4 separate regions of the Mus musculus genome follow, and all the other regions are reported to be linked to region 3. The links are microRNA targets in miRTarBase. Many come from high-throughput screens and were not tested one by one. Region 3 holds a microRNA gene; each other region holds the end of a gene's coding sequence.
The links. The annotated mature microRNA mmu-miR-743b-3p reads GAAAGACAUCAUGCUGAAUAGA and lies in region 3 at 3,258-3,279, shown strand. An mRNA with a match to its seed (bases 2 to 7 or 8) in the 3' UTR can be bound and repressed. Matches are read on the target gene's strand: a 7mer-m8 pairs with bases 2 to 8, a 7mer-A1 pairs with bases 2 to 7 and ends in A, and an 8mer does both.

Region 1 (7,125 bases), not on the chromosome of region 3:
CACTGAGAACCTAGGATCGGAGCCTCCCGGCTCACAAAAGCTGCAACCCTCCCTCTGCATTCTGGGAAGGAAAAGAAAGGGAGTTGGTCTCTTGCCAGAGAAGTGGGCGACTGCCGTGGAGAAAGACAGCTGGCCACTCTGTGTGGTGACCTACAGAGTGCCAGTGTGGCTGCTGGGCCTTTATAGCTTGTGTGCTCTTAACAGTCGGGGAGCAGGTGCTTGTGACCTGTTAGGGGCATGGCCTCCCATCTGAGGACCTCTGCTCTTGTCAGGTTTCTGCTCATTGCTGCTCTCTGGAATTTTCTTGTGCTTTGATGGATGTCTCTGGAGCTAGGCCTGATCCTTATGGTGCAGAACTACCCCAGCTACTCAGGAGGCAGAGGCAGGAGGATCATGAGTTCAAGGTCAGCCTGTGCTACATCTGGAAAAAAGTAAAAAGCAATAGGACGTAATGTTTGTCATCCCAGCACATGAGGAAGTAGAAAAACAGTCCGAGGCTGAAGGTCATCCTTGTCCACGTAGGGAGCTGAAGGCCAGTGTGAGCTCCATCCATCCATCCATGTATCTAAAACAAAAGATGGGCTATAGCTTAGTGGTAGCAGGTGTGTCCAGCATGCATGAAGCCCTGGGTGCTGACCTTATTACTGAGGGAACAAAGCCCCCAGGTCACCCTGGGAGGAGATTCCATGTTCCCTGAGTGAAGCAAGGGACAGGTCTTGCTTAAGGTGACTGCCCACTCCCACCTTGGTCTCTGACTTCAACTGGAACAAGAAAGTATTGGGGGTGGAGCTTCGGAACACACCTGACCTCTTTCTCCCCTGCAGTGTACCACTGGGTGGAGATGCGGACGAAGATGCGCATAATGGGTTTCCGGGGCACTACCATCAAGCCACTGAATGAGGAGGCAGCAGCAGAGCTGGGTGCTGAGCTGCTGGGCGAGGCCACCATCTTCATTGTGGGCGGAGGCTGCCTGGTCCTGGAGTACTGGCGCCACCAGACTCAGCAGCGCAATAAGGAGGAGGAACAGCGGGCAGCCTGGAACGCTCTGCAGGATGAGGTGGGCCGCCTGGCACTGGCCTTAGAGGCGCTGCAGGCTCAGGCACAAGCGATGCCCTCCTTGAGTGCCCTGGAGGAGCTGCGGGAGGAGCTGCAGGAGGTGCGTGGTCAGGTCTGCAATGCTCACTGTACTTCCAAGTGCCAGGCAGCATCTTCCAAGAAATAGCCAGCTGCTAAGGCCTGGACTTGTTTGTGACCATGTGGCCTCCAATAGAGCCTTCTCCTCACACCTCCTGGCCCGGGATGCTCTGGCCTAGCAGAAACCACGAGGACCTTGATGTAGCTGTGACATGTGGTCACCCCTTACTGACAGGTTCTGGGCATTTCCCCAGGGAGCACTCAGCAGAAGCCTTCAGAGCCCATCCAGTCTCTGACTCAGAGCCCTCAGCCCCTCATTGGACTTTCAAGGTCTCAGACACCTGACTCTCCACTGCTCTGGCAAAGGCAAAAGATGGAACCAGGGCTCAAGTCTGATCATGACATAGACAAGGTCACCTGCCCATCATTGGAGCGCCTCCTTCCTTCGGTGAACACAGGCCACCTTGAGCCTTGCCTCAGGTCAATGTAGCTCCCATGGAGGCAGCAGAGTGCAATTGATGTTCCCGTTCTCTCTCCTCATTCTCCCTCTGAGGTCCCCAGGGGATCACGCCTGTATAGATCCCCTTACTCCTCAGCCTGTGGCATTACCCCATTTCCTCCCTAGGCACAGACGGATCCTAGCTGGCTCGATTCTGACCTGTCTCAGTCGCAGCCCCGCTGCCCTATCCTGAAATGTCCCTGAACCTTGTTTCGGGTGGCACATATTTCCTCCTGTCCTTCTGTGGTATTTTTCAGTTGGGTGGGTTAGATGTCACACACACACCTGTCTGACCCTTCATACCCCTTAGGTCTGGGTCCCTCTACCCTTTCTGTTGCCCCACCTTCCTTGCTCGATCCCCCCAGACATGACTTACTGCTGGGAATGTGATGGAGGAAACAGAGTAACCTGTTCTCCCACCGTTCTGGAAGCCAGCGGCAGAGGTCAGGGTGTTTGGGCCCCACTTTCTTCTGGCTTCAGGGGCCCCAGATCTCCTAGACTCTGTGTCCTGTCTTCATGTGGCTTTCTCTTCCCCCACCTGTCTCTTGCAAGGACACCTGCCCTGAATACAAGACCCACCCTAAATTTAGGATGACCATATTGAAAGAGCCTTTATTACATCTCTGAAGACCCTTTTTCTAAATGGAGACACACAGGCCCCAGGATTCAGACATGGAGTTTTCTTTTGAAGGCCCTCTATTCAGCTTGCTGCCTTCTGCCATTTTAAAATGCAAGGCCCCTACTATGCTGTTTGGCTCTTCCGGCAGCCTACTCATGGCTTCTGGGGTTGGGCTAACCACTATAGCTCCAGAAGGATTGTGGGTGCAGCAGTCACTGTCATGGTTGTCCAGTTCCTGATGGAGCTGCAGAATAAGGAGGCCTCCTAAGGATATATGAGGGGCATAATTAATACGGACCTTCAAACTGGGCCAGTGATCATTAACAATAGAGAAATCCGGGCTTGGTAGCTCATATCTGAAATTCCAGCACTCTGAGGCTGAGGCAGGAATGAGCCTGGGTCCCATCGTGAGTTCCTGGACAGCCTGCTGAACCACAGGGAGAGACCCTGTCTTTAAAAAAAAAAAAAAAGGCAAAAAGTAAAAAAGACAACCAAGCCAGACAGTGGTGATACACGCCATTAATCCCAGCACTTGGGAAGCAGAGGCAGGTGGATTCTGATCGAGACCAGCCTGGTCTACAGAGTGAGTTCCAGGATAGCCAGGGCTACACAGAGAAACCCTGTCTCCAAAAAAACAAAACAAAAGTAAAAGAAAAAAAGACAACCTTGGAGGAAAGGCAGAGGTTTTGGCTCTGGGGGAAAAGGAGCCGAGACTCATCCTGTGAACTCTTCCCACATTGGGAAACTAAGGCTCAGGAAAAGGGAAGCTAGGTGACTTGGCCAAGACCCCATAGCTCAGGAGGGACCAGAGGACCCAGAAGATTCTGGCTGCAGGGCAAGATGAGATAAGGCCCAACCTCTTCCCAGTGGCCAGAGGCACTGGGTTCTGCCCTCTTATCAGAAAAGCCCCAGGCCACACCCAAGATGTCTGACTATAGGTAACAGGTTCATTCTCCCTGGCCCTTGTCCCTAGAGGTGGCACTTGTAGGGCTCCCCCAAGGGGATGAAAATGACCCATCCCCAGGATTCCCCAGACTGAAACCAATACTGAAACTGTACCTCAGTTTCTTCTAGAAGAAGCTGAAGTTGGTGTCTTTAAATTTAGGAGCAGCTGAGTTAGGTGAAAGCTGAACTAGGGACAGAGGACACACATGGCTAGGTGATGAGGGGAGGACAGAGTGAGGAGCCAGGAAAGCTGCCTGTTTGCCATGGTTACCCCTGTGGAGTCACTAAGAGTTCCAGGGCCAGCCCTGGCCACCTTGCCCTGGGTCAGTCTATAGCAGTTATGGCAAAGCCAAGACCGGTGAGGGCGCTGAGCTCCATCAGGTCAGTCCTTACTCCAACAGACCAGCCTCACTGGTGGTGAAGAGCCCCATAGGAATGGTTTCTCTGCTTGCTTGGGAGGAAACAGGCACCAAGAGGAAATGTCACCTTTGGGTCACCCAAGCATGAAAGTAGGCCTCGGGGCCCACCCTGACCCAGTGGAGCCTTCACATGGTCCTGGTGTATGTGGACATGGCAGCCTCTCCCATGATGACAGTGCAGGAAGCCACCGTGGTGTGGTGTGTGGTTCCAGAAGCCTCTGGGGCAGGAGGCCAGAGCAGCTTTCATGGCTCTGACTCCCTACTCATGCAATGTTACATATCCCCACAAAGGGAGAAGGAGGACAATAAATTTATGAATGAAGCTGGTTGTCTTCAATTTTATTTGTGTGTGCTTTTAATTGAAAAAAAATCAAAGGGGGATGGAGAGATGGCTGAGAGGTTAAGAGCACTGACTGCTCTTCCAGAGGACCTGAATTCAATTCCCAGCAACCACATGGTGGCTCACAACCATCTGTAATGGGATCCAATGCCCTCTTCTGGTGCATCTGAAAACAGGGACAGTGCACTCACATATGCGACATAAATAAATAAATAAATAAATAAATCTTTAACAAGAAGGAAAGAAAGAAAGAAAGACCGGGCGTGGTGGCCCACGTCTTTAATCCCAGCACTCGGGAGGCAGAGGCAGGTAGATTTCTGAGTTCGAGGCCAGCCTGGTCTACAGAGTGAGTTCCAGGACAGCCAGGGCTACACAGAGAAACCCTGTCTCAAAAAACCAAAAAAAAAAAAAAAAAAAAAAAAAAAAGAAGGAAGGAAGGAAGGAAAGAAAGAAAAAGAAAGAAAAGAAAAGAAAAGAAAAAAGAAAAGAATCCTATAGACTGACAAATAGAAGCACTGGCCACCAAGCCTGATGACTTGAGTTGGATCCCCAGGACTTGATGGTAGAAGGAGAGAACTGACTCCCTCGGTTGTTAGACCTCCATATTTACCTTGAAATATGCACACAACCATAAACACACTAAATAAATAAATAAACAAAATGTGATGAGAACTTTTTTTTTAATTCCAGGGATGGCATAGGCCTTTAATCCCAACACTCGGTACTCCTGCTAAACAAGAAAGACTGCTAGGGGGCTGGAGAGATGGCTCAGCAGGTGAGAGCACTCACTGCTCTTACAAAGGTCCTGAGTTCAAATCCCAACAACCACATGGTGGCTCACAACCATCTGTAATGAGATCTGATGCTCTCTTCTGGAGTGTCTGAAGACAACTACAGTGTACTTAGATATAATAAATAAATGAATAAATAAATAAATAGACTACAGAAGACCCTGTCTAAACCAACCCAGAATTGCAGCAGGCATGGTAGCGCGTACCTCTGAATCTCAGCACTTGGGGAGTCATTGTCCTTCTCAAAATGACCTTAAAGTCCATCTTAACCAGAAAAGCTGCCCTGTTCTTTGCCATGCTGGGTCCCCATCCCCCAGTCAGCTGCAGCCCCAGTCTCATGGATTTACAACCCAGTGAGGAACAACTGCACACACACTCAGCATTACCTGGTTATGTGAGTAGATGGGGCTGGACCTAGACTCTTCCCTTCTGAGTGATTTGGGGCTTCAGGGCATTGCAGACAGAACCTTGTCATACCAGCTCACACAGCCTGAGCCAGTGTTGGTGGCTCTGCCTGTCCCATCCCTGGCTGTTGGTCTCATCGGACAAGCCACCATAAGAGAATGAATCTTATACAAGCTCCAGCCGGTTCCCCTGGCCCCAAAGCCATCCCTTGGCTGGCCAGTGTGAGCACTGTGGATAGATAGACTGGCAGGAAAAGCCTGCCTTAGTGGCTGGGGTGCTATCACCCACCAACTGGACACATGTGCATGGAGCAGCTACTGTGTCCAGTTTTCTCCCCGTGTCTGGATAAGCCAGGGACAAGACAAAGCTCAGCAGAGCCACCATGGTGCTGCCATTCCAGCATATGGGTAAAGAGCTGGCCCTGGGGAAGTGATGCCGTAGACAGGGCTCTTGTCTAGCATGCCTGAAGCTCTGAATCCAGTCCCCGGCACTACATAAACTGACATCCTGCTACTGTGGAGGTGCCTCAAGTTCAAAGTTGAAAACTCCATAGGATGAAGACGCAGGTAAGAGCAATCAATCCTAACAGTGCAAAGCTTAGTAGATTAGGCCCCTGAGCTGAAGCAGTCAATAAATGTTTATTACAACAGCTGTGCTCACTCACTTTCACATTGTCGATGGCCACTTTAGCAGAATTTGAGACTCTGAGATGCTTGAGAACAGTTAGTTACCCACTGGCTCTTTACAGGAGAAGTTCACTGACCCCACACAGCAAGGGCAGACAAAGGTCACCCTCTCAGGGAGCCAAGTGTGGTGGCACACACCTTTTGTTGTTGTTTTTTTTTGTTTGTTTTTCGAGACAGGGTTTCTCTGTATAGCCCTTATCTGTCCTGGAACTCACTTTGTAGACCAGGCTGGCCTCGAACTCAGAAATCCGCCTGCCTCTGCCTCCAGAGTGCTGGGATTAAAGGCATGAGCCAACATGCCTGGCTGTCACACACCTTTAATCTCAGCATTGGAGAGGTAGAGGATGTCAGAGCTCTGTTGAGTTCTAGGTTGGCCTGATCTACATAGTTCCAGGACAGCCAGTGGCATGTAGAGTGACCCTGTCTCGAAGATGCAGAGAGGTGGTGGCACATGCCTTTAATCCCAGCAATCAGGAGGCAGAGGCAGGAGGATCTCTTTGAGTTTGAGGCGAGCCAGGCCTACAGAGTGAGTTCCAGTACAGCCAGGGTTACAGAGAAACCCTGTCTTGAAAAACAAACTAAATAAAAATGGCAATCAAACTAAACCTCTGGAACAGGAGGTCACTAAGGCCCTGGACCCCTTGTGTCAAGCATTAGCTCACTCGTCTGTGTTCCTGATTCTCAAACCCCACAGGAGCTGCTACCAGCAGCCTCAGAAGGCCTGAGCTTGCACTGCAATCCTTGAGAAGGAGGGGCTTATGTAACCCATCCTGGGCACACTGTAAAGTAATTCTCTTCTCCCTGTATGTGGATCTCAGGGTTGTGTAATTCTGTGCACATCTGTATCTGTAACATGATGTGTGTAATGTTGTATATGTCTCTGGAGTGACAGTTTGGCAAAGTCATTACTCAGTAGGACTTGCTACTATGTCTTCTTTTGTGGTAATCTACTTCATAAAGAAGAGCTAGCCCGGTGTGGTGGCGCACAACTTTAATCCCAGCACTCGGGAGGCAGAGGCAGGCGGATTTCTGAGTTCAAGGCCAGCCTGGTCTACAAAGTGAGTTCCAGGACAGCCAGAGCTATACAGAGAAACCCTGTCTAAAAAACCTTACTGAGGAACCAATTTTTAACTCCCAGCACCCACATAGTGACAGTGGCTCACAACCATTTCTAACTCTAGTTCCAGAGAATTCAGTGCCCTCTTCCACACACGCACTTTGTCCACAGACATACATGCTGTCAAAATATTCATACACATAAAATAATAAATCAATAAGAACTATATA
Region 2 (7,125 bases), not on the chromosome of region 3:
CCCTTGACTGAGTCCTTCCCCATTCCTGTACTAGGCATGTCCAAATCTTATTCTAACTCAACTTGTCTGTGTAGCTCCTTTCCTGTTTCTGTCTTGTCAAAGGCAATGATACTGGGCTTAAGGGTTCAATGAAGAATTAAGTTATATTTATATTAGTTGTTACAGGAATACAGTTTCAAGGACAGGCTTGCATTTTCTAGAGCTTCATTTTGTAATTTTTAGTGTTATGTTTTGACTTATTCTGGAGTGACAGGCTTTGCAAGACCAGATTAGTTCATCATTTCCTTTTTAGAAGTATGTCAATGGAAATTGGTTTCATATTTTTTTAAAAGATTTATTTTATTTATATGAGTACACTATACCTGTTTCCAGACACACCAGAAGAGGACATCAGATCCCTTTAGAGATGATGGCTGTGAGCCACCGTGTGGTTGCTGGGAATTGAGTTCTTAACCACTGAGCCATCTCTCTAGCCCTCGTTTCAGATTTTTAAAGTTAGGGTTACTTGTTTGAAAGCCATGTGATTGGGGAGGTATGGAAGGCTCTGCACACATGCACCTTTCTTTCTCTTTATTGACACTCTGAATTTTTGTTTCTTGGTTCTAGGAAGTCATCTCCTACTATTCCCAATATTCTTTAGATGAAAAGATGCGTAGCCACATGGCCCTGGACTGGATTATGAAGGAGCGTGAATCACCAGGAATTCTCTCTCAAGAGCTGCGTGCAGCCCTAGGGCAGCTGGAGGAAGCCAGGAAGGCTGGACAAGAACTACGATTTTACAAAGAAAAAAAAGAAATCCTGAGCTTGGCCCTGACTCAGATCTATAGTGACCCTGACCCTTCCTCACCCAGTGATGACCAGCTAAGCCTCACGGCTCTGTGTGGCTATCATTAGCAAGGCCAGGTGGCAGGTTTCCTGAGGACGTTCACATCAGGAATCTACCTGACAGAAGTTGTTAGAGATTTTAGCATGATAGTCAGTACCTGAAGGCTGTACTGCTCCTACACAGTCTGTTCACAGAATGGGAGGCTAGGGTTGACTGATCCCGATCCCAACTTCCTACTTCATGTATGTTTTCAACCATTCCCTTAGGGATTCTACTTCAGAATAAAAAGAAAGACAACAAAATTACTTTAGAAAGCATTCTTCAGGGTTTGATCTAATCTAAAAAACCTAGTTGATATGTGCCTTGCTAAATTGTATGCATTGCTTCACACAACAGTCCAGTAGAGCAGTCTTGGAGAAAACAGCAGCCAGGACTAGGGAAAGGATCATGATAACTTCTTTTTTTCTTTTTTTTTGGGGGGGCACAGTTTCTCTGTGTAGCCCTGGCTGTCCTGGAACTTGTCTTTAGATCAGGCTGGCCTTGAACTCAGAGCTCTGCTTCTGAGTACTAGGATTAACTACATCTACCACAACCACCTGGCCTATAACAATGTTTTAAATACTTAAGAGTAAATAAATAGTACAGATGATTTAAAAAAAATGTACAACACTCAGCATGTTTTGAACCCTCCTGAAAATTACTGTATCCTCATTATATATTTTGAAATTAGCTTTAATAACAAACACTATCACATATACTTCTCAGACAGGATGAAATTAAGTACATAACTGCCCTATTCCAATGTCCTAAAAAGGTGATGGTGTGTAGTGTTAGATGATTTCATTTTAAAATGATATTTTTTTAAAAATCATATCACTTCCCATAATGAGGCTAAATGTTCTAAGGAAAAAAAAACTTTAGATTTTTGTAATCTTGAGAAGGAGTTAGGATTTGTGTGTGTGTTGAATAAATTTTTAAGTGAAGAAATTTCTATTTCATTTTTTTTTTTACAAACTTTTTATCATTTCAAATTCAGCACATTTCCCCATGTTGGCTGGGATCTTTACGTGCAGTGCATGTTTACTGTGTTTGGCAATGTCCACCTCAGAAGATTGATATCTGATTAGATGCAAGAACAGTGCTTGCGTGGGTCAAGCTTCTCCTCTCTTTTATAATTATGACACTGTACAAATTCTCTGAACTGAAAATTACGTAGACTATTTTTCCTTGGAATATTCTCAGAAACTTCAGCAAAAGCAACAAAGGTTATGGCCATGGCTGGCCCTATCTAATAGCAAATCAACTTCAGCCAGGGCATTGTGCCAACCGAGTATCACACATGTCTGTAACACTGGCACAGAGGAACCTAAGAGAGGGACAAGACAAACACGCACGCTTGTTCTTAACACTGCACTGTAGAAAGGGACAAGAATAAAGGAGTCTCTAAGAAGATGGAGCCATGAAGGTGGTGCTTGTTGTTGCTATGAACTCCCTGAAAATTGAATAAAAAGCCACAGACTATCTCATAGCAATATATAATAATTTCATAAAACATATGGCCCTGCCCCAAAATTTATGGATTAGCCCAGAGCATCATTGACCCTTAGTTTGAAGCTCACAATTTTAAAAGCATACATAGTTTTACACTTCATATGAGAGATCTAGTAACCCATAGACCATATATTTTTTTCTTTTCTTTTCTTTCTTTTTTTTTTTTTTTCCGAGACAGGGTTTCTCTGTGTAGCCCTGGCTGTCCTGGAACTCACTCTGTAGACCAGACTGGCCTCGAACTCAGAAATCTGCCTGCCTCTGCCTCCCAAGTGCTGGGATTAAAGGCGTGCGCCACCACTGCCTGGCCATAGACCATATTTTTAAGATTACTACCATTACTCTGAAATCAAGAATTGTATTGTTTGGGGCATGATGGTTTAATTTTTATAAAAATCAAAATGCACCTTGTTGTTATGGAGAAAGAAATTAAGACAAACTAGACACTAAACTTTGGCAACTGTACCAGAACATTACAGATTTAATAAAATCATTGTTCCTTCAATATTCTGAATTTGGCTGTCCATTTTTTTTTTTTAAAGCTACGGTTCACGTGCGCTTTTGCTCTTAACCTTAACTATTTCTAGAAAAGAAATAGAATCAAGTCCTTGGATGTGTTCTTCACTGAGAATCTGGTCACCTCAGTCTGGGCATAAACAAATGGGGGGGAAACCCCAAAAGTTTATAACTCTCCTATTTCTTTGGGGGAAAAATGTTTCCAGTCAAAACAATTGTAGTTGGCTATAGACTAGAGGTTTTAGAGTTCTTATTTTTATTTCGCAGTGTCTTTCTTCATAGCTTATGTCAGACTATCAAAGTTTTCCTCACCTTTCACTATGTTCATAGGTAACCACTAGCCCAAACATTGTCACCTTATGTTTTTGTGGTGTCCATAAAAATTCAAATCACAGCCTTCTTCTTCGCTGAAACTTGGAGCAAATGGTCTGGAGTGTTGATACTGCATTCATCTAGGGTTCCAATATAAAAGAACTTATTTTCTCTACCTTAGTGTTTTGGGTTGTGCATGTAAAATACCCAAAGAGCTTTAACTTTTTTAAGTGGTCAGACTGTTTCAAGGTGAAATTAGACGGTTTGGGTGCATGGCCCATGCATCAGTCTTGAATATCTTTCATCAGACAGTTCTAATATACAGCATAGTTGACAGCTACTGCCTGCTTTCTCTAGTCATCACTGATGCAAGTCCATTACCTAACCTGTAGAGCCACTGTCCCACTTTGATCTTGGACCCAAACCAAAATTTAGAACTCTTTTAGACTACATGAGTAGATACTTTTCCTTGAACATGTTTTCTCTGTCACTCCGAACTAAAAGAGGAAAAGTGTACACACAGATGTGTGCGCACACATACACAGGGGAGGAGGGTCAGTTTACATTGACAGCTAAAAAACAAAAAAAGATGAATACAAGAAGAAACCATGGCAAAATACAGCCCCGACAGACACACTTTCAGTGACATACCCCAACCAGTGTCCATCCCCTATGAACTCCCAACAATACCATCCTATTATAAATCCGTGAAGGCATTAATCCATTAGTTAGGTCAGAGCTCTCATGGCCTAATTACCCTTGGAAATGCTATCACAAACTAGTCTAATCTCCTCGGTGTTTTTCAATATAGCTAACAAGTCATCTGATCCAGACTCTGCCCAGGGTGGACTCCTTTTTTTATATACTGTATGTGAAACATCTACACAGAATCACCTGAGATCCTTGTTTGTTAAAAAGTTCCACTGTATTGCAGAACGACTGAGCAAATTCTAGGCAGTTCTAGGTTATTTAATACTTCTTTTCATGCTTCTGACCACACTCCAGTCTTTGATATTCCAGCCTGAATTCACTTAATATATCCTTCACTGAGCAGTATAGCCCTGGCCTCTCAGGTAAGAACATACAGAGGAGTATCTTTCTGGAAGCTAGAAATTAGCAGAAGGGGCAAAGAGCTATGTTTTTCCTCTCTAAAGAGCACCTCGGCACCAACATTTGGTCTGACTTTCAAGCATCCTGCTAGGAGCCAAAAACTCACTTCTTTCAATCTAAGTAAACCTTGGTCATATTTTTGTCTGAGAGCAAAACTGGTGTAGAAATGTAAGCAGAACTTCACTCTTACAGCTTTTGATTTCTAATGAATGCTGGTTTCCAGTGAGAAATACTAGATTGCAATTTATAGGCAGTTCCTAATTTCAGCATGAATTGTATTCCATAAGTTTATTTGTAAACAAATTAATCCAACTCTGAGTGGTGTGTGTGTGTTTAAGAGCAAGACCAGAATTGGTTGCGATTTTCCCAGAAAAGACTACTTAGCTATAGAGTACCTAAAATTTTGATCCACAAAACCTGAGTCTGATAAACCAAGAAATTTGGGTTTATCTCAAAGATCAAGCACTTGCCTAGTATGTGCAAGGCCCTTATTTGGTTTCCAGATCCAAAAGGTAGAACAAGGAACAGCCCTAGGTAGCGGGCCTTATTCTAAAACATCTCCCTGGGGTCATTTCTCATGTCCAGATTGGTTGTCTTTTTTTCACTCTCTATCACCATTTAGTCATGGTTTCTTCTGTCAAATTTCTGAAAACAAACAAAACAAAGAGAATGGCTTTTTCTACCAGAACAATAAACCAGGACTTGACATCTTTGCGTGGTTTTTCATGGCTATGCACACACGTATGCATGATTGCGCATGTCTCAGGGTTTGCTTTCTTAAATTCTGGATCCATTTTTACTGTGATTCTTTCCTGATGCAACATGATAGTAGCCATATGAGTAAGTCACCCTATCAGTTCCAATCCAAGAACCAAGTACCACCACAATGCTTTTGTCCCAAGTCTGCTTCTGAGTTGATGGTTGTGGTCAGACCTGTGTTACCTGTCTGTCTCACTACAACCAGTGGTCAAGTCAAGCTCATATAGACAACTTAGACATAGTGCAAAAGGAGGAGGGCAAAATATGGGTTCAGTTACCAGAGGGAAAAAATGGCAATTTCCCAAGATATTTAAAAACTATTTCCTTCTCAAAGACCTTCAAAGACAGCATAAACAATAGAAGAAATGTGGTCTCTTCAACCAGAAATTGGGAAAAAGACTTCTGGGTAGACACAAGCAACAGATGTGTACCATGAATACATTTTACCATTTCCAAAAAATCAAATTCTTCCTTCAAGGACAAACTGCCCTATTAAAGATATTCAAAAGAATGATCTCCCCAGAGGGGAAATATAAAAGTGCTTCCAGACCAATCACATAGGAACACACAGACAGACACCCTGAGGACTCCTGAAGGGGATGTTGCTCATTTATATGTAAGAGCTCTGTTGCACACAAAAATCTAATCACTCATATTAGTCTGCAGTCACACTTCATATATTTTCAGAACTGATGAATTGGTGCTATGCAAGTGAGTCAGAAAATTTCCTCTAGTCTGTTTCTGCTGGGCACTGGCTTTCATTATCAGTGGCTGCTAATGCTCCCAAATGAAAGGGGTAATTGTTAACCCAACAAATGCAAACAGTTGGAGTAAAAAAAAAATTCACAGTTCAATAGTCCAGATCCTTTATTCATCCCTACTTGAGACTGGATTATTTGAAAATCTTAAACCTGCCTTGCTGACCTGTGAGTTGTGATGTAGACAGTCATAATGTAATGTAGGAACCATGCTATTCTGAAGTGATCTACTGTGTCTACACAAACACTGTTCTAGCCCATAAGTAATTCGTTGGTGATATTGGGAAGCAAATACACAGTATTTGGTGAAAGATGGTTTCCAAAGGGAAAACTTGAAAACGCAGATGATCTATTGAGATTCCAGATTGCTAGAAAAACTGAAAAGCCAATTTGAGACTACACCTACCTAAAATTAAAAAGAATGAGATGTTTTACCCTTTCAGTTAATAAGTAAAATGATCTGGGCTATCTATCTATCTATCTATCTATCATCTATCTATCTATCTATCTATCTATCTATCTATCTATCTATCTATCTATCAATTATCTATCATCTATCTATCTATCTATCTATCTATCATCTATCTATCTATCTATCTATCTATCATCTACCTATCATCTATCTATCTATCTATCTATCTATCTATCTATCTATCTATCTACCTACCTATCTATCTATCTATTACCATTTACCATCTCTACCTATTTGTCTATTGGGTAAAAGCCTTTGATCACAAAACCACTAGTGCAAATGAACTTTTTAAAACTAAGAGAGGAGACTTCATGTATCATAAATGCCAAAATATAGTTCCTTTTATCATAAATGAGAACATTTTTTAAAAAGATTAAGTTTGGTAACTTAAGACAACTTTCCTTCAACTTTGTCTTTTATTTAGTGCATACTTGTTGTCAACTTGTTTGAGGTCTTTTTTCATTCCTTCATGTGTAATCAAGGACAGTATCTCCTTATCCCATTTATCAGCTGTCTGTGAAAAGCCAATAGGGCTTGGCTCGCACTCTGTGGAAAGGAGGGTTCAGTGGGCTGTATCTTCATCCAGGCACCTTCCTCCCAGGCATTTCAGGTGCCACACTTGTTGACAGTAGGATTTACAGGGGAAAAGAAACACCTCAGAAACTATATATCCAGTTAGAAAAGAGTGCGTCAGGGTTAAAATAATGGGTTAAGCTGAAAGTCTGTCTATACAAAAGAAGGGAGCAAGTCCATGAGGGTGAGTGACTAATTGTACTATTGGGCTCAGAAAATGACACCTGGCCTTAGAGAGTTTTGACTTGTTG
Region 3 (7,125 bases):
AAAAAAAAGTAATTATTGTTGACGACTTACTTCAATGTTCTATTCAATTTTATTTCACATGTTGAAATAAAGACTTCAGATGGGCTGGTTCTAGAGTACCTGGGCAGTGCTCTACTCACATGGTTGCTAATCACGTGAAGTGTAGGTGAAAGCCACCATGCTGGGTAAAGTAAAGCTCATCATGTTCTTCATTTGTTGTGGCCTTGGGTAGTAAAGATGAAGAAACTATACATCCTTATTATGGCTCCAGAATCTGCTTCCTTGTACCTGAAGAAACTATGCTCTCATTTTTTTTTTAAGTTTAAATGTTGTGGAAGTTAGCATTATTCTAGCTTGCACAGAACCCAAATTATACAAATTATAAGAACAGAAAATTGCATGCCAGTCTCAATAGGGATCATGAATATAAATATCAGAAATAAAACCAATCAATGATTTCAGGCCCAACTGAATATCAATTCAAATATCTTGTGACAACTTAGATGATGAGTGCACGAAAGTGGACTGAAAAGCTACAAGTAATTAGAGTCTTCCTTTATAAATATGGCCCTAAGTGAAAAAGAACCAAACAGATTTAAATTCAAGTCACTGAAATTATGATGGTATCAGTGATTTGAATTTAAATAGACCAAGTTCCTATCTTCTGTATTCTGTAACTTTCTCCAGTAATTGAACAGCGATATACAGGTACAATTGTGTTGTATTCTCATCCTATGCTCCCAATATTCTGATTCTTTTAGAAGATTTTCATTACCTAGTTTTTAAAAGTCATTTGCAAAGTATATCACTGATTAATCTTAAAGTCACACTGGCTATCTGGCTATAGGTCAAGAGGTCTTCCTTTATCATGCAAGGTGACAAAGTATATTTTGTATTCCCAAACAGTTGAAAATAAATAAATCAATGTTAATATGTCATGCTGTAATTGGTGAAGTGATGAAAACTGCTTGGGATGATTAGCCTACATGGATGATACCTCCATATCTTCATGCTTTATGTTATATCTCACTCAAGAAGCTGTTAGACAGTTGGACTACCGACAAATCTTCCAGGTAAAGTACTGCTCTTTAATTCAGTTATTTTTGATAGGTTCTAGGTAGTATTAGTGCTTTCCATGTAAGATCACTGATAATGGTTTTCAGGATGATCACAAAGCCTTACTATACAATTGTGTGTATCTTTTTAATCACTTTCATGGGACAGCATTCAAGCATCTATGTTAGGTAAGGAAAAGGAGAACAAGGTGCTAAAATTAAGAATTATGCTTTCATAAAAAGAAAATGAGGTACACTGTGTTAATGAAAGACTAAACACAGAAACGGTTTGAGTCTTTGTTGCCCCATATCCTTACTTTTTCAACATAGTGTAGACTATCCATGTTTCACCTCATGGGTACTTTCAAAATAGAGAATGTAAAGAAAGAAGATAATCTAAAGAAAAAAAAAATAATTTCCTTCCCAGTAATTAAATAAAGTTAAAGGACTTTTATCTCTCTGATCCAGAAGTGGTAGAGATAGAAAGTGAAGGAGAGTATATATATTCCCTAAGAACTTGAGTTAAGGACTCCTGAAACTTCTTGGTAATGCAAGAGTCAGATGAGATGATATGTCTCCATTCATTTTGGTGTGTGCATTGTGATATAGGACAGATACCAGTCACTTTCTACTAACCTCTCTCAATATAAGGATACAGAAAAAAGTAAAACTTGATGAAGATGATGAGGACGATGATGAGGATGATGAGGATGATGATGATGATGATTTTGATGAAGAGGAAACTGAAGAAAAGGTCCCAGTGAAGAAATCTGTACGAGATACCCCAGCCAAAAATGCACAAAAATCAAACCAAAATGGAAAAGACTTAAAACCGTCAACACCGAGATCAAAGGGTCAAGAGTCCTTCAAAAAACAGGAAAAGACTCCTAAAACACCAAAAGGACCTAGTTCTGTAGAAGACATTAAGGCAAAAATGCAAGCAAGTATAGAAAAAGGCGGTTCTCTTCCCAAAGTGGAAGCCAAGTTCATTAATTATGTGAAGAATTGTTTCCGGATGACTGACCAGGAGGCTATTCAAGATCTCTGGCAGTGGAGGAAGTCTCTTTAAGAAAAGGGTTTAAACAGTTTAAACAGTTTGGGGTATCTCTCTCAATATAAGGATACTCATAAAGTACTGTCATTGTAAATGTAAGAACATAGATGCACATGCAAGAGTATTTTCTGATTCTAAGATCGATTGTAGCTACCTTCACAGGACATTGTTTAGGTGAAGATATAGGGGGAACCTTTCATCTAATTCCTATTTCTCATAGGTGAAAATATTTAAAATTAGGGACATAGCACTATGGAAAATAAGTTTAGTTTCATTTTAATTTTTAAGTGCTTTTTAAATTAAAATATTTTATAATTCTCCCCTTTCGTTTCTTCCCTTCAGCCACTCTAATCAACTAACCCCTTTGTTCTCTCTCTCATTCATGCCCTGCTTAGTCCATATTTTGAAAGTTTTATGTATGTTATTTCAGTGCTGACCATGGAAAAGCAGTTGGTGGGCTCTTCTCTGCTGAGTACTATTTCTCCTGAAAGCTTTTTAGTGTCAATCCCTATACACATTAATGTCAGTGAGACTTAAGTGCGTGTACACATGGTCTCTCAGAGTGAGTAATGTTCAACAAGCTCCTTACTTTGTATACCCTGGACCTTATACTTCGTCTTCAAAGGCATCCTTGAGATTGCTACCATTTTCATCATTTCTCATTTAAAGCCCCACTTTTTTAGACTTAAAAGGTGCTTAAGGTTGTACACATGCCTCAAAATGGTCAGAGAGTGCAATTATAAAAGTAATATGTTTATTATTAATGGATATTTAATATCAGCAAAATGAGATAAAAAATTGGGATCACAACATTCAGAAGGAGAAATGAAAGGTGAAGGATTTTGTCATTTCCTGGACCTGTGAATAAAGAAATCTAGTGTTCACCTATCACACTAGACTACAAGAATTGATGAAGGCTCATGAAAACTAGTATATACTGTATTTATCTTCACAGCATACATCCTCAAGGTGAATTTAGACAGGATCCTCAAATATGATGGTTATTACTACATGGTAGAGAAAAAAAGATGAAGCATCAGTCATACTGATGCAAAGCATGCAACTAGTACTTAACTTTTTGTCCAGGACACTGAAATAGGAGTGGGAGAGGGCAGTATGTTGTGTGCAGTGCTGTGTTCAGACTGGTGTCCATCATGTGAAATATTTGTGAAAGACATCATGCTGAATAGAGTAAGGCCCATGATATTCTTCATTTATTATGCCTTAATTGGTCAGAGTGGTGCAGTGCAGTTACACTTGACATGAATCCCTCATTGTAATTAGTCATATGTAACCCTCAGGATCCATATTTATCCAGAGTATAATTTTAGATGTTCAATTTTTACACAATTATAACATGTAGGTTAAAGAAAAAAATACTTAGAAGAAACTAAACCCACAATCAACAAATGATACATCTTTTATCTATGTAGATTTGAGAATCAACACTGTAAATAGAGACCAGGACATAGTATACAGTGAAGAACTAGAAACTCATAGCCTACTGTAGGAATGTTTTCTAATATATACATATAAACAGAAGTGAGTTTTCATGTTGAGTGGGGCAGAATGATTTGTGTGACATGTAGATGAAGGATCTGGGGCAGAGCATTCTCATTAAAGTTCTTGTATGCAGTGCTGTATTCAGATTGGTGCCTGTCATGTTTATAAGAATGAAAGACACCAAGCTGAGTAGAGTAGGGCTTATTGTGTTCTTCATTGCAGGTGGTATTATGTGGTCAGGGTGTTTTATCTGTAGTTACACAAAATGTAACCAGTCCTAATCTGTTACCTAAGTACAATTTTGATTCCCAGTGTTAACTTTATAGCCGCATATAGATTGGAGAATTAACACAAAGTTTGGCAGTCAACCATATAGTAGGACATAGTATGTTATGTACAAGGAATATTCCCTAAGATAGGAATAAATATGATATATGTTAAGGTTTTATACTCATTAAGGCAGATTGATAAATAGGATACTATTAGGACATGATTGAGGCCCGCCCTACATGCTAAAATTCTATACAGAGCCATATTTGCTTAAACTGTTAACCAGTTCTTCTGTGTGAGTAGAATAAGTCTAACAAGCTGTCTCATTACTTTTAGCATAGTGATTTTTGTATAAGTACAAATATCCTAGCATTTCTGATTATGGTGTTCTTTGACTTTTCTGGGCCCTAGGACACCTTCAGGGTTTTTAATGGTGTTGTTGTCACCTTCATGCTTTTTGTTGTTGTTGTTATTCAAAAATTCACATAGGTCCGATAAAATACAGAAGGAAAATTCAATTTATTTATGTGCTAAAAAACATACTTTTAAGAGCCTAAAGCACAGTCTTTAGAATAATTAGATTGTATGCTTGAGGCCCTAAGTTTGGCACGTGGTCTGGCAAGAATGAAGGAAAGGGTATTAAGCTGAGAGTGATGATCAGTTATTGGTACTCAGAGTTATTCATCTTATTGGAATGCAGGAAGAAGATGTCAAATTATATATGCAAGGTGATGTATAATGAGTTTTGCATTCCCTAGGTGTGTTCAGGGTTCAGGCATCCTTCCTGATGTCATAACTTGTACAAGTGATGAATATTATTAGAGGTTATAGAGTTGATAGAGTCAGCACTTCTACATTTGTTTTGTTTCTTTTTTTCTGAAAATGTTTAAGATATATCCTGACCACAATTTCACATCCCCCATCTTCTCTGAGATCCTCCCCACCTTCACTACCAGATTTCTTTATCTTCCTTTAGAAAAATCAGCAAGATAAATGAGTGAATAAAGAATAATTTAAAATGCCCAAGAAACACATTATACACATAAAGAGAGAGAGAGAGAGAGAGAGAGAGAGAGAGAGAGAGAGAGAGAGAGAGGAGAGACAGAGAATACCTACAAAATATAATTGAGTTCATATTGTGTTGGCTGTATAATTCTTGGCATAGAGCCTACAATTAAATGTGGTTACTATACCCAGTGAGATGAAATTGAAGAAAACAATTTTTCTTTGTAAGTAGCTGTCAATTGGAAATAATTTATTAGTTAATGATGGGAATTCATATCCATTTTCCATGCTCACTCATGGGAACATGTTTGGTTTGAACTTGTTCAGGTCCTGTGTATTCTGTCACAGTCTGGATGAGTTCATATGTGCATCAGTCCTGTTGTATATAGAAGGTCTTGTTTCCTTGATGTTATCCATTACCTCTGGCTCTCATTGTCTTTCAGCTTCATCTTCAGCACAACTCCTTGATCCCCAAGGGAAGGTGTTTGATAAAGACCTCCCACTTAGGAATGATTATTTCATACCCCTTACTCTCTACACATTGTTCCAAGAAAAAGAAGCATATTTGATGATATCTGAGGAAAACACTGATCTATACATACTATAGAATATCATTAGGAGTCATTTTATTGTTATGGTCCTTTACAGAAAAACTGGTTTTCTCTAGGCTCACGGCCTTTCTAGTCTCATGTTTTTGACTGATTGTATAGAATTGGATGTGAATTCTGTCTCATGGAGTGGGCCTTAAGTCCTATTATAAAGAGGTTATGTTCTGCCACAACATTTGTACTACTTTTTCACCAGCATGCCTTGCAGGCATATCTTTGTTATTGGTCATATGGTCTGTAATTGGATTAATGATCATCTTTTTTCTTTGATAACTTGCAGCATAGATTATCTTCAGTTATCAATACTAGTTAGTAGAGGTGAATGCTGTACAGAGACAAATGCTTGATTTCTCCATATTCAGTTTGTGTAGAATAACCAAAAGACTTGGCAATAGCTTAAGTTTGAGGGTTTTCATGGTGTCCTTTTGAGCATTAGCTATCTAGCTATAAAAACAAACTAGCATCCACACATAAAAGAAAACATAACACATTTGCTTTGGAGATCTAGGTTAGTCAATTAGCATATTTTTAGTTCCATTCATTTACCTATGAAGTTCTTCATTTACGTGTGAATAATATTCCATTGTGTAAATGTACAAGTTTTATTATCCATTAATCTGTTATGGACTCCAAGGTAGTTCCAATTTTCTGAATGTTACAAGTAGAGTATCAGTGAACAGGGTTGAGGAAGTTTATCTGTAGTAGGATATAGAGTCCATTCTGTATATGCCTAGAAGTTGTATAGCTGCATGTAAATGCAGATCTATTCACAGCTTCCTGTGGAAGCTCCACAATGATCTTTACAGTGGCTGCTCTTCCCTCATCTATTACTCCTTCCTTTTTCCTCACCCCCATCCACCCCTCTTCTCTTTATGCTAAGCCCTGGCCACACTTCCTCCCTTTCTCCTCAGAAAAGGGGAGTCCTCCTATGGACATCAACCAGACTTGGCATTACAATTGCAGTAAGACTAGACACATCTTCCCCAGTTAAGGCTAGACAAAGTAGCCCAGTTATAGGAAAGGAGTTCAGAGTTAGGCAATAGAGTCAGAGACTGCCCCTGCTCTTGCTGCTAGAGGTCCCATAGGAAAACTAAGCTGCTCATCTTTTACGTAAATGTAGGAGGCCTAGGTCCATTTCATGTAAGCTTCATGGTTGGTGGTTCAGTCTCTGTGAGCCCGTTTGTTTGTGTGTACTATATTTAATATATATGGAAAGAAGGGATATTCTTATGTTTCTGATTTTAACGGAAATAGTTTGAATTTCTGTCCTTTTACTTTGGTAACTTCTGTAAGTTTGGTTTAGGCTGCCTTGATTGTGTTGTATTATGTCCCATGTATCCCTAGTTACCCAAGACCTTTTATCATGAAGTGATGTTAGATCTTGTCAGGTCATTTCTGCATCTAGTGAGTGATCATGTGGTTTTTGTCTTTTGATCTGTTTATGTACTGGATTGTGTTCATCAATTTTAATCTGTTAAACTTAATTATAGTTGGTAATATTATTGATATGTTCTTGGAGTCAGTTTGCAAATTTTTTATTGAAAACTGGTACACCTATACTTATATGGGAAATTGCTCTGTAATTTTTGTTTGTTGGATTTTCTATGGTTAGGTATCAGGGTAATTAGAGCATTGTAAAAAGAATTAGTCA
Region 4 (7,125 bases), not on the chromosome of region 3:
AACAACCAGCTTCTAATCTCACCCTCCTGGGACTCAGGAAGGTTCCAGGAAGCCTAACTGGGCATAGATGCTACTTCAGCTGCCTAAGAGTTGTGTGACCTGAGGCAGGGTCTTTAAACTCTCCTGAGCAGTGCAGACCCCTCTTTGGGTGCCTTGAGGACGAAAGGAAAGGGTGGCTGAGGTAATTCATTCATTAATGTCTAAGGACAAATTCTCAAAGCCATCAAAAACTGAGTGTGTGTGTGTGCGCGCGCGCGTGCGCGCGCGCTCGCGTGCTGGTACTACTTTAAAGAGGTTCTAGCCACAATGATAGTTGATCTCTTGTGTATCTTTGTCTCTTTCAGGCCGCTAGTCAGACAGGAAGGCAAGCCCAGACCTTCAGAGAAAATTGTGTAAAATGGCACCGCCAGGAAGCTACAACTACTACATGACTTCAGAGATCTCTTCTTGCAAGAGGCCAGGCCCTCCTTTTTCAAGTTTCCTGCTGTCTTATGTATTGCCCTCTGTATTGTTTTAGTAGGGGTGTGATGGGGACAGTTCCTTTTTCTTTATGAATTCTCTTTGACACAAAGCATACTTGTATGCATACAATGGGAGTAATGAGCAGACTGTAACACCAGAGCTAGTTCCAGTTTCGGGGTCCATGTCGCTGGTGGCCTCAGCACCCACTTGATATAAATCTCCTGTCTGCCCATCATATAGAAGAAGCTGAAGATCAGAGGTGGAAACAGCAGGATCTGTAGACCCGGAGAGAACCCAAGCTAGAGGAACCCTCACTGACTGGTGCAGGGATCTCACCCCCATCCCCTGAGCTCTCTGTTTAGGTATGTGTCTTTAGTATAGCATGCTTGTGCCTCAAACTGCAAGGAAGCAAGTGGTATGAATCTGTGATCTGCTCAGCTCTGGCTGTGAGCATCAGATGTAACAAATCAAAGTCAGGAGAACTGCCTTTAGCGGTGCACCTGGACATCAGAGCCCCTTGTAAGAACTGGGAAATTGCTGGCAGTCTAGTGGAGCGGTACGGTAAATCTGGAAAACACTCCCCTCTGTCACTGAAGGCTGTAGTAGAATCCAATTAAAGCTATTCAAACCACTGCCGCAGACCCTCTGGGTCCCTGTGTCTGCGTGGAATGGGTCTCTCGAGCAGGTGGGCAAAGCGTAGGATTAAACTGACAAACAGATGCACACAGGAGAGGCGTTGAATCTGAATGTAATGTCAGGTCGAACCTCGGACTTTTTATAATACAGAAAAAATTCCAGGGGCGATATGTCACACCAGACAAGGTACACTGAAATTTACCAGATACAAGAGAATGACTTCGAAAGGAATTTGCAGGAACTAGATAAATGTTTACAATAGAGATTATCAGCCCTGCCTAGGATCATCAGCCTAGTGCCAGGTAAGAATTTCACACTTTAGTGTTAAAAGCACCAGGGGGTAATTACTCTTGGCAGGCCTCAAGAATAATGTAGTGTCACGGACCCCTAAATTCCTAGGCCTTGTTAAATCTTATCTTGTCTGGAGAATCCCCATTTATCAGGAGAGTATCTCAACTTGCTCTTGGCATGGAATGTAGCCTGTACTAAAGATTTTTATCTCAGTGAGATTCCCAGGCTCTTTCTGCAGACCAGATGAGCTAATGGCCTTGTTTATTGTAATGCTTAATTAGTTACTGAATAGGTTAAACTCCTTGCTGTTATCTGGGATCTTGGAACAATGGGGGCGCTGGGGGGGGGGGCGGGGGGGCTTTAGCTATGTCAGAATTCAATCTTAAAAGGCACTTACAATAGGGTAATGCTTAATAGAGGGCACATGGATCCATACACTAGACTAACGCGGGAGTGGAAAATTAATTTATGGTTTAGAGGGAACGCCAGACTCCAGGAGGGAATTTCTGTGAAACTCTTTTCCTTGTGGGCAGCTTCCAAGCTTCCGCTTGTCAAACTGACCCAACTGGAGAGCGTGGCTTTCACCAGACTCCAGGAGGGAGCTTTCGTGAAACTCTTCCTCATGAGATAGCTTCCAAGCTTTCGCCTGTCAAGCTGACTCCACCAGAGTGCGTGGCAAACCACCACTGTGAAATTCCTGTAGAATTATGATTCTCTCTGCTCTTGGACAGCAGAGGGTGAGGTTTGACAGATACGACTCAGGCATCAGAGAAGCTGCAGGCAGGCCCTCTCCCATGTCTAAACATGAGACTTGGATGTGCTCCTGGGATCACCAGCATGCTTTATACTCTATAAACATAGAATCCTTGGAGAACATTCCTTAGCACCCCCGGAAGGCAGATGTAAAGAGGCAGACTAGACGTGGAGGAAGACGCTGACTGTCAAAACTGCTGCCCCAGAGCTAATTTCCTCTCACAGTACCATATAAGTAACAAATAATAGGCAATAAAAACCTGAAGGAACTAAGAGTCACCCATGGTCCTCTATCTATTGTTACTATCATTTTATACCTGATTATTTCCTATGCATATATATGTAAGAAAGATTACACCCTGGGTTTTAAAACACAACAGTTTTTGTAAGCAGATTTAGTAAATAAACATGTATATTATCATTTAATGGTTAAATAGCATTTCATAGTTTGGTTGTATCCATTTAGTATTAAATTGTTTCAAACTTCCCCCTACTATTACACTACTAAACTTGCACAAATCTCTGGATTTTTATTTTGTTTTTTTCATTTGTTTTTGTTGTTCAAGAAAGGGTCTCATGTACAGGGTAGACTTGAGTTCCCTGTGTAGCCAAAGATGACCTTGGATATATGACCTCTCTGGCACCACCTCTGAGTGTTGGGATTCGGGGGCAGTGCCGCTATGCCCTGTTTATGTGCCGCTGTGTGTGGCTGTAGGTGATTAACCTCTCAAATATTCATGTCAGTGGCAGCTCGAGTTCCTCCCTACCTGCCCCAGTGTTCTGGATTCCCGAATGAAAGATGAGTATGCACACACACACACACACACACACACACAGAGCCTTATATTTAATATGCCTTAATCAGCTCAATGGTTGGGCCACTCCCAAACTTCACATTACTAACACCTCCCCTCTGATATTCCTGAATTATTACTTACTAAAATCTATATTCCATCTTTGCTACTCTAGACCCAGTGTGGGTGAGGCAATTCCTAGCTCTTAGATGATTGGCATGTTCTCTACTCTGCAGCCCTCAAGCCTAGATCTTATTCCCTTCCTGGCATGGTATTCTTCTTTTCTCCCTGGTCCCCTTGCCCTTGAGTCCTAAAGTCCTGCCTCTGTTCTCTCTCTTTCTCTCTGCCCAGCCATTGGCTACTGGCAACTTTATTTAACAATCAAAACCAACCAAGGGCAGGGACCCTCAGTGTCTTACACATGTGATTCTCATGCAATTTTGGGAACTCAAATGACATAATACAAGCATTAAACCAAATCCACGACACTGCAGGTATAAACCATACAAGCATTCTACCAACTGTGCTACACTGCCCACTCCTGACACGTCTTTCTTTAGGGTATGTACCTGAAAGTAAAATTATCAGGTCTTTCTCCTTTACCACGGTCCATTATCACATTGGTGAAAATGGATTGATCAACTCTTCTGTTGCCTTCCTTTTCTCTTGGTGACAGATGAAATGACAATTCTCCCACCAGCAATCACAAAATCTTCAATTTTTAGTTGAGATAAAATATGCATACTAGGGTAGGGAGCATACATACAAGCGCCAAGTGCTCATTACAGAGTTAGATCACCCACATAATCAGGACTGGGTCAAAACAGAAACTCACCAGCAACCACCACCACCAGCTAACTGGTCTTCCACTACCAGGCGCCTTGGTATCATGATTTCAGTCTCAGCACTCAGGAGGAGAAGGCAGGCAGACCCCCTGAGTTCAAGGGCAGCCTGGTCTATATGGCTCACATGGCTTGAACTCTGTCCAGTGTGGCAGCAAATGCCTTTACTTACTGAACAGTCTTGCTAGTCCTGACCTTGGCATTCTTGACTTCACTGCTGAAAAAAAACCTTCAAGACGGGCTAGTATGAAGCATGGCTGGAGTTTCTGAAGAGATTTTAACACAGGTGTATCTGAGTTAGCAGAAAGAGAAGCGCTCAGCAAAGGACAATACACGCTCGGGTGTAGGCGAGGCACCTCCAGATTCACACTAGAGTGTCCCAGAGGCTCTATGCAGGATTTTGAAAGCTCAAAGGACTTTTTTTTTTTATGGGTACACTGTAGCTGTATTGATAGTTGTGAGCCATCATGTGTTTACTGGGAATTTGAATTTAGGATCTCTGCTCCTTCCGGTCAGCCCTGCTCGCTCCAGTCTAAAGATTCATTAATTATTATATATAAGTACATTGTAGCTATCTTCAGACACACCAGAAGAGGGCATCAGATCTCATTACGGATGGTTGTGAGACACCATGTGGATGCTGGGATTTGAACTCAGGACCTTTGGAAGAGCAGTCAGTGCTCTTACCCGCTGAGCCATCTCTCCAGCCCAGCTCAAAGGATTTTTAAAGGAATCTTTTTTTTTCCTTTTGTAATAAAGTTCATATATATGTGTGTGTTTGCATATATACATATATATGTATATCCATATGCATAAACACATTCCCCCCCCTCCTGTACATTTTCTCTTCAACTTTCAGCTTAGATACTGTGGTAGCCTGAATGAAAATGAAAATGGAACCCGTAGGTTTACAAAAAGTGGTACTCTTGGGAGGTATGGCCTTGTTGAAGTAGGTGTGGTGATGCTGGAGGAATAGTGTCACTGGGGGTAGGCTCTGAGTTCTCAGCTCAAGCCAGGCCTAGTATGTCTTGTTGTCTTCCTGCTGCCTGCAGATCCAGATGTAGAACTCTCATCTCCTTCTCCAGCACCACATCTGCCTGCATGGCACCATGCTTCCCACCACAATGATAATGGATTAAATCTCTGAACTGGACCCCAGCCTCAATTAAATTCTTTCCTTTATAAAAGTTGCTGTGTTCGTGGTGTCTCTTTACAGCAACAGAAACCCTAAGACAGAAGTTGAACAGCACAGAGGGGTTAAACTTGGAAGACTCTAAAAGGAAATTTGTTTTTTGTTTCTGTACTTGTTTGTTTTTTAGTGATGCACCCACAGAAAGGATTATCCACTTCTGGGTGGGGGGCGGCAGGAATTAACATCTTACTTAATAGCAAGGTCTGATCTTGAACTCACATGTTCCCCATTTCTTGCCCCCAGTGCTACAACATCAAGTGTGAATCAGCCGGCTCTCTTGTGCTGGTTTGGATCAGGAGCAGCTAGACCTTACTGGTCTATGTGTCTACGGGGGTTTTCCCAGAGATGCTCAGATCATGAGTGCTCTCACCTCATCTATTGGTGGATTCGAAGTAGATTATTGAGGTGGTGGAACATCCTGCCTTGTGAGGGGAAGTAGTCATTGGGAACGTATCTTTGAGGTCTGCATCTTACTTTTTGGATGCTCTCTCCTTCCTGTCCATGATGTAAGATGCTCTACTCTACATCTTCTCTACCATACAGCAAACAGCTGTCCTCACAGGCTCTTGCAGCCACGTTTCAGGAGCCCAGAAACAGTCAAGTAAACATACACTGAACCCCACGAACTGTTCTCCCTGGGCTGAAGATGCTCAGTGGTTAAGAGCGCTGGCTGTTCATCCAGAGGACCTGGGATTGAGTCTAGTACCCACAAATGGGTTCAAAACTATTAACTCCAGTTTCAGGAGATCTAATGCCTATTCTGGTCTCCTCGGGCACTGTACATACACACATCACACAGGTATGTATAAATGTGAGAAAACACTCATGTACATAAAAATAAAATTAAAAGCAAACCTTTATCCCTTGAATTGTTCTCTTGGGTATTCTGTCACAAGAGATTTAAGCAACTTACAAGTAAAATGGTAAAAAGCACTTGGAATTAAAAATGAGGACTATTCATCAGAGCTAGCCTTCTGACTCAGAAGACAACAGGAAGTCAAACTGATGGCCATGCAGCCTACTGTATGCTAAGGGAGGGCTGTAAATTTAGACTCGGGCTCACAGATGGCCAGGGCCATCCAATCTGTTTGTTCCTCACATGCCCAAGGAGAACACCACAGTACCTACCATACTGTTAACCTCAGGCTCAACTGCCAATCTGAAGCATTGTTTCTACAAGACCCCAGGGACAATGGCTGTAATACCTTTTTTGAACCAAGGGGCAAGAAGTTTCAGGCTGTAATCTTAGCTGGCTAGAATCCAGCCTCAATATGGAATTAACAAGTATATAAAACATATATCTCGGAGGCTAGAAAGATAGCCAGCTCAATATGAGGACCTGTGCTTGATCACTAGCATCCTTGAAATCGCAATGATGGGGAGACCAAGGACAAGGATCCTTGCAACTCCCTGGCCAGACAACCTGGTCTAAAGGTGACCTTTAAGTCTCAGTGAGACCCTATAAACCAAAGCAAACCAAACTAAACCAAATCCATACAAATCAAAGCAGCACAAAAGAGGAATGCCAACCAAGGGTGTCCTCTGACCTACACACACACACACACACCTACCTCTTCCCTCTCCACAGCTCTACTATGTACATACACTCAAAAATTATAATTTATGTACAGAATCTAGATTTAAATATATATGCATTATATATAATGTTGTAGGATATTTGGTCACACTGTGAACCCCGAGACTGTGCTATTTACTGACAGTATCTGTTTCTAGTTGTGGTGTGGCTTAGCCGTTATCACACATCCTTAATTCATTTGGCTGGAATAGAGACACAACCTTAGTACTCACACACACCCCTACCTTTTCCAAATCACTCCCAAACAATTAAGTTTAAGTAAAGTTAGTTTGTAGAAGGGATCACCGGTGTTTGAAAGTGATGACTAATTGAGTGGCAAAGTGACAATCAGAGAAAGACTTGACAGACCAGGTAGGCCTAGGTTAGCAGATGGAGGCAGTAAGCCTCAGAGAAAACAATTACTACAGGAGAATAAAAGTTACATTTTACATATTTATACACACACACACACACACACACACACACACACATATACTTTCTGCATAAAGAAACATCAGAGAAAACTTTTTTTCTCTAGCTTTTAAGCTGCTTTGAAGAGAGCTTACATCCTTAGAAGGA

Region 1: the mRNA of Opa3 is a reported target of mmu-miR-743b-3p. Seed matches in the 3' UTR shown: 8mer at 2,701-2,708.
Region 2: the mRNA of Lix1 is a reported target of mmu-miR-743b-3p. Seed matches in the 3' UTR shown: 8mer at 1,346-1,353.
Region 4: miRTarBase lists Cd8a as a target of mmu-miR-743b-3p. Seed matches in the 3' UTR shown: 8mer at 830-837.

The regions. Positions count from the first base shown.
Region 1 is chr7:19,243,930-19,251,054 of GRCm38, forward strand. It overlaps Opa3 (optic atrophy 3), which reads left to right. Exons shown (of 2, transcript NM_207525.3): 2 at 825-2,888. The coding sequence ends at 1,222. Gm38499 (predicted gene, 38499) reads left to right here and starts at 5,506. Exons shown (of 2, transcript NM_001370864.1): 1 at 5,506-5,718.
Region 2 is chr17:17,456,500-17,463,624 of GRCm38, forward strand. It overlaps Lix1 (limb and CNS expressed 1), which reads left to right. Exons shown (of 6, transcript NM_025681.2): 6 at 607-2,888. The coding sequence ends at 894. Among named protein-coding and RNA genes, the nearest start is that of Gm41537, 31 kb to the right of the region's middle.
Region 3 is chrX:66,773,420-66,780,544 of GRCm38, reverse strand. Mir743b (microRNA 743b) reads left to right here and starts at 3,213; the gene lies at 3,213-3,289. It overlaps Mir743 (microRNA 743), which reads left to right and starts at 3,727; the gene lies at 3,727-3,788. Mir742 (microRNA 742) reads left to right here and starts at 108; the gene lies at 108-172. It also overlaps the pseudogene Gm14681.
Region 4 is chr6:71,376,516-71,383,640 of GRCm38, forward strand. It overlaps Cd8a (CD8 antigen, alpha chain), which reads left to right. Exons shown (of 5, transcript NM_001081110.2): 5 at 345-2,656. The coding sequence ends at 396. Among named protein-coding and RNA genes, the nearest start is that of Cd8a, 6.7 kb to the left of the region's middle.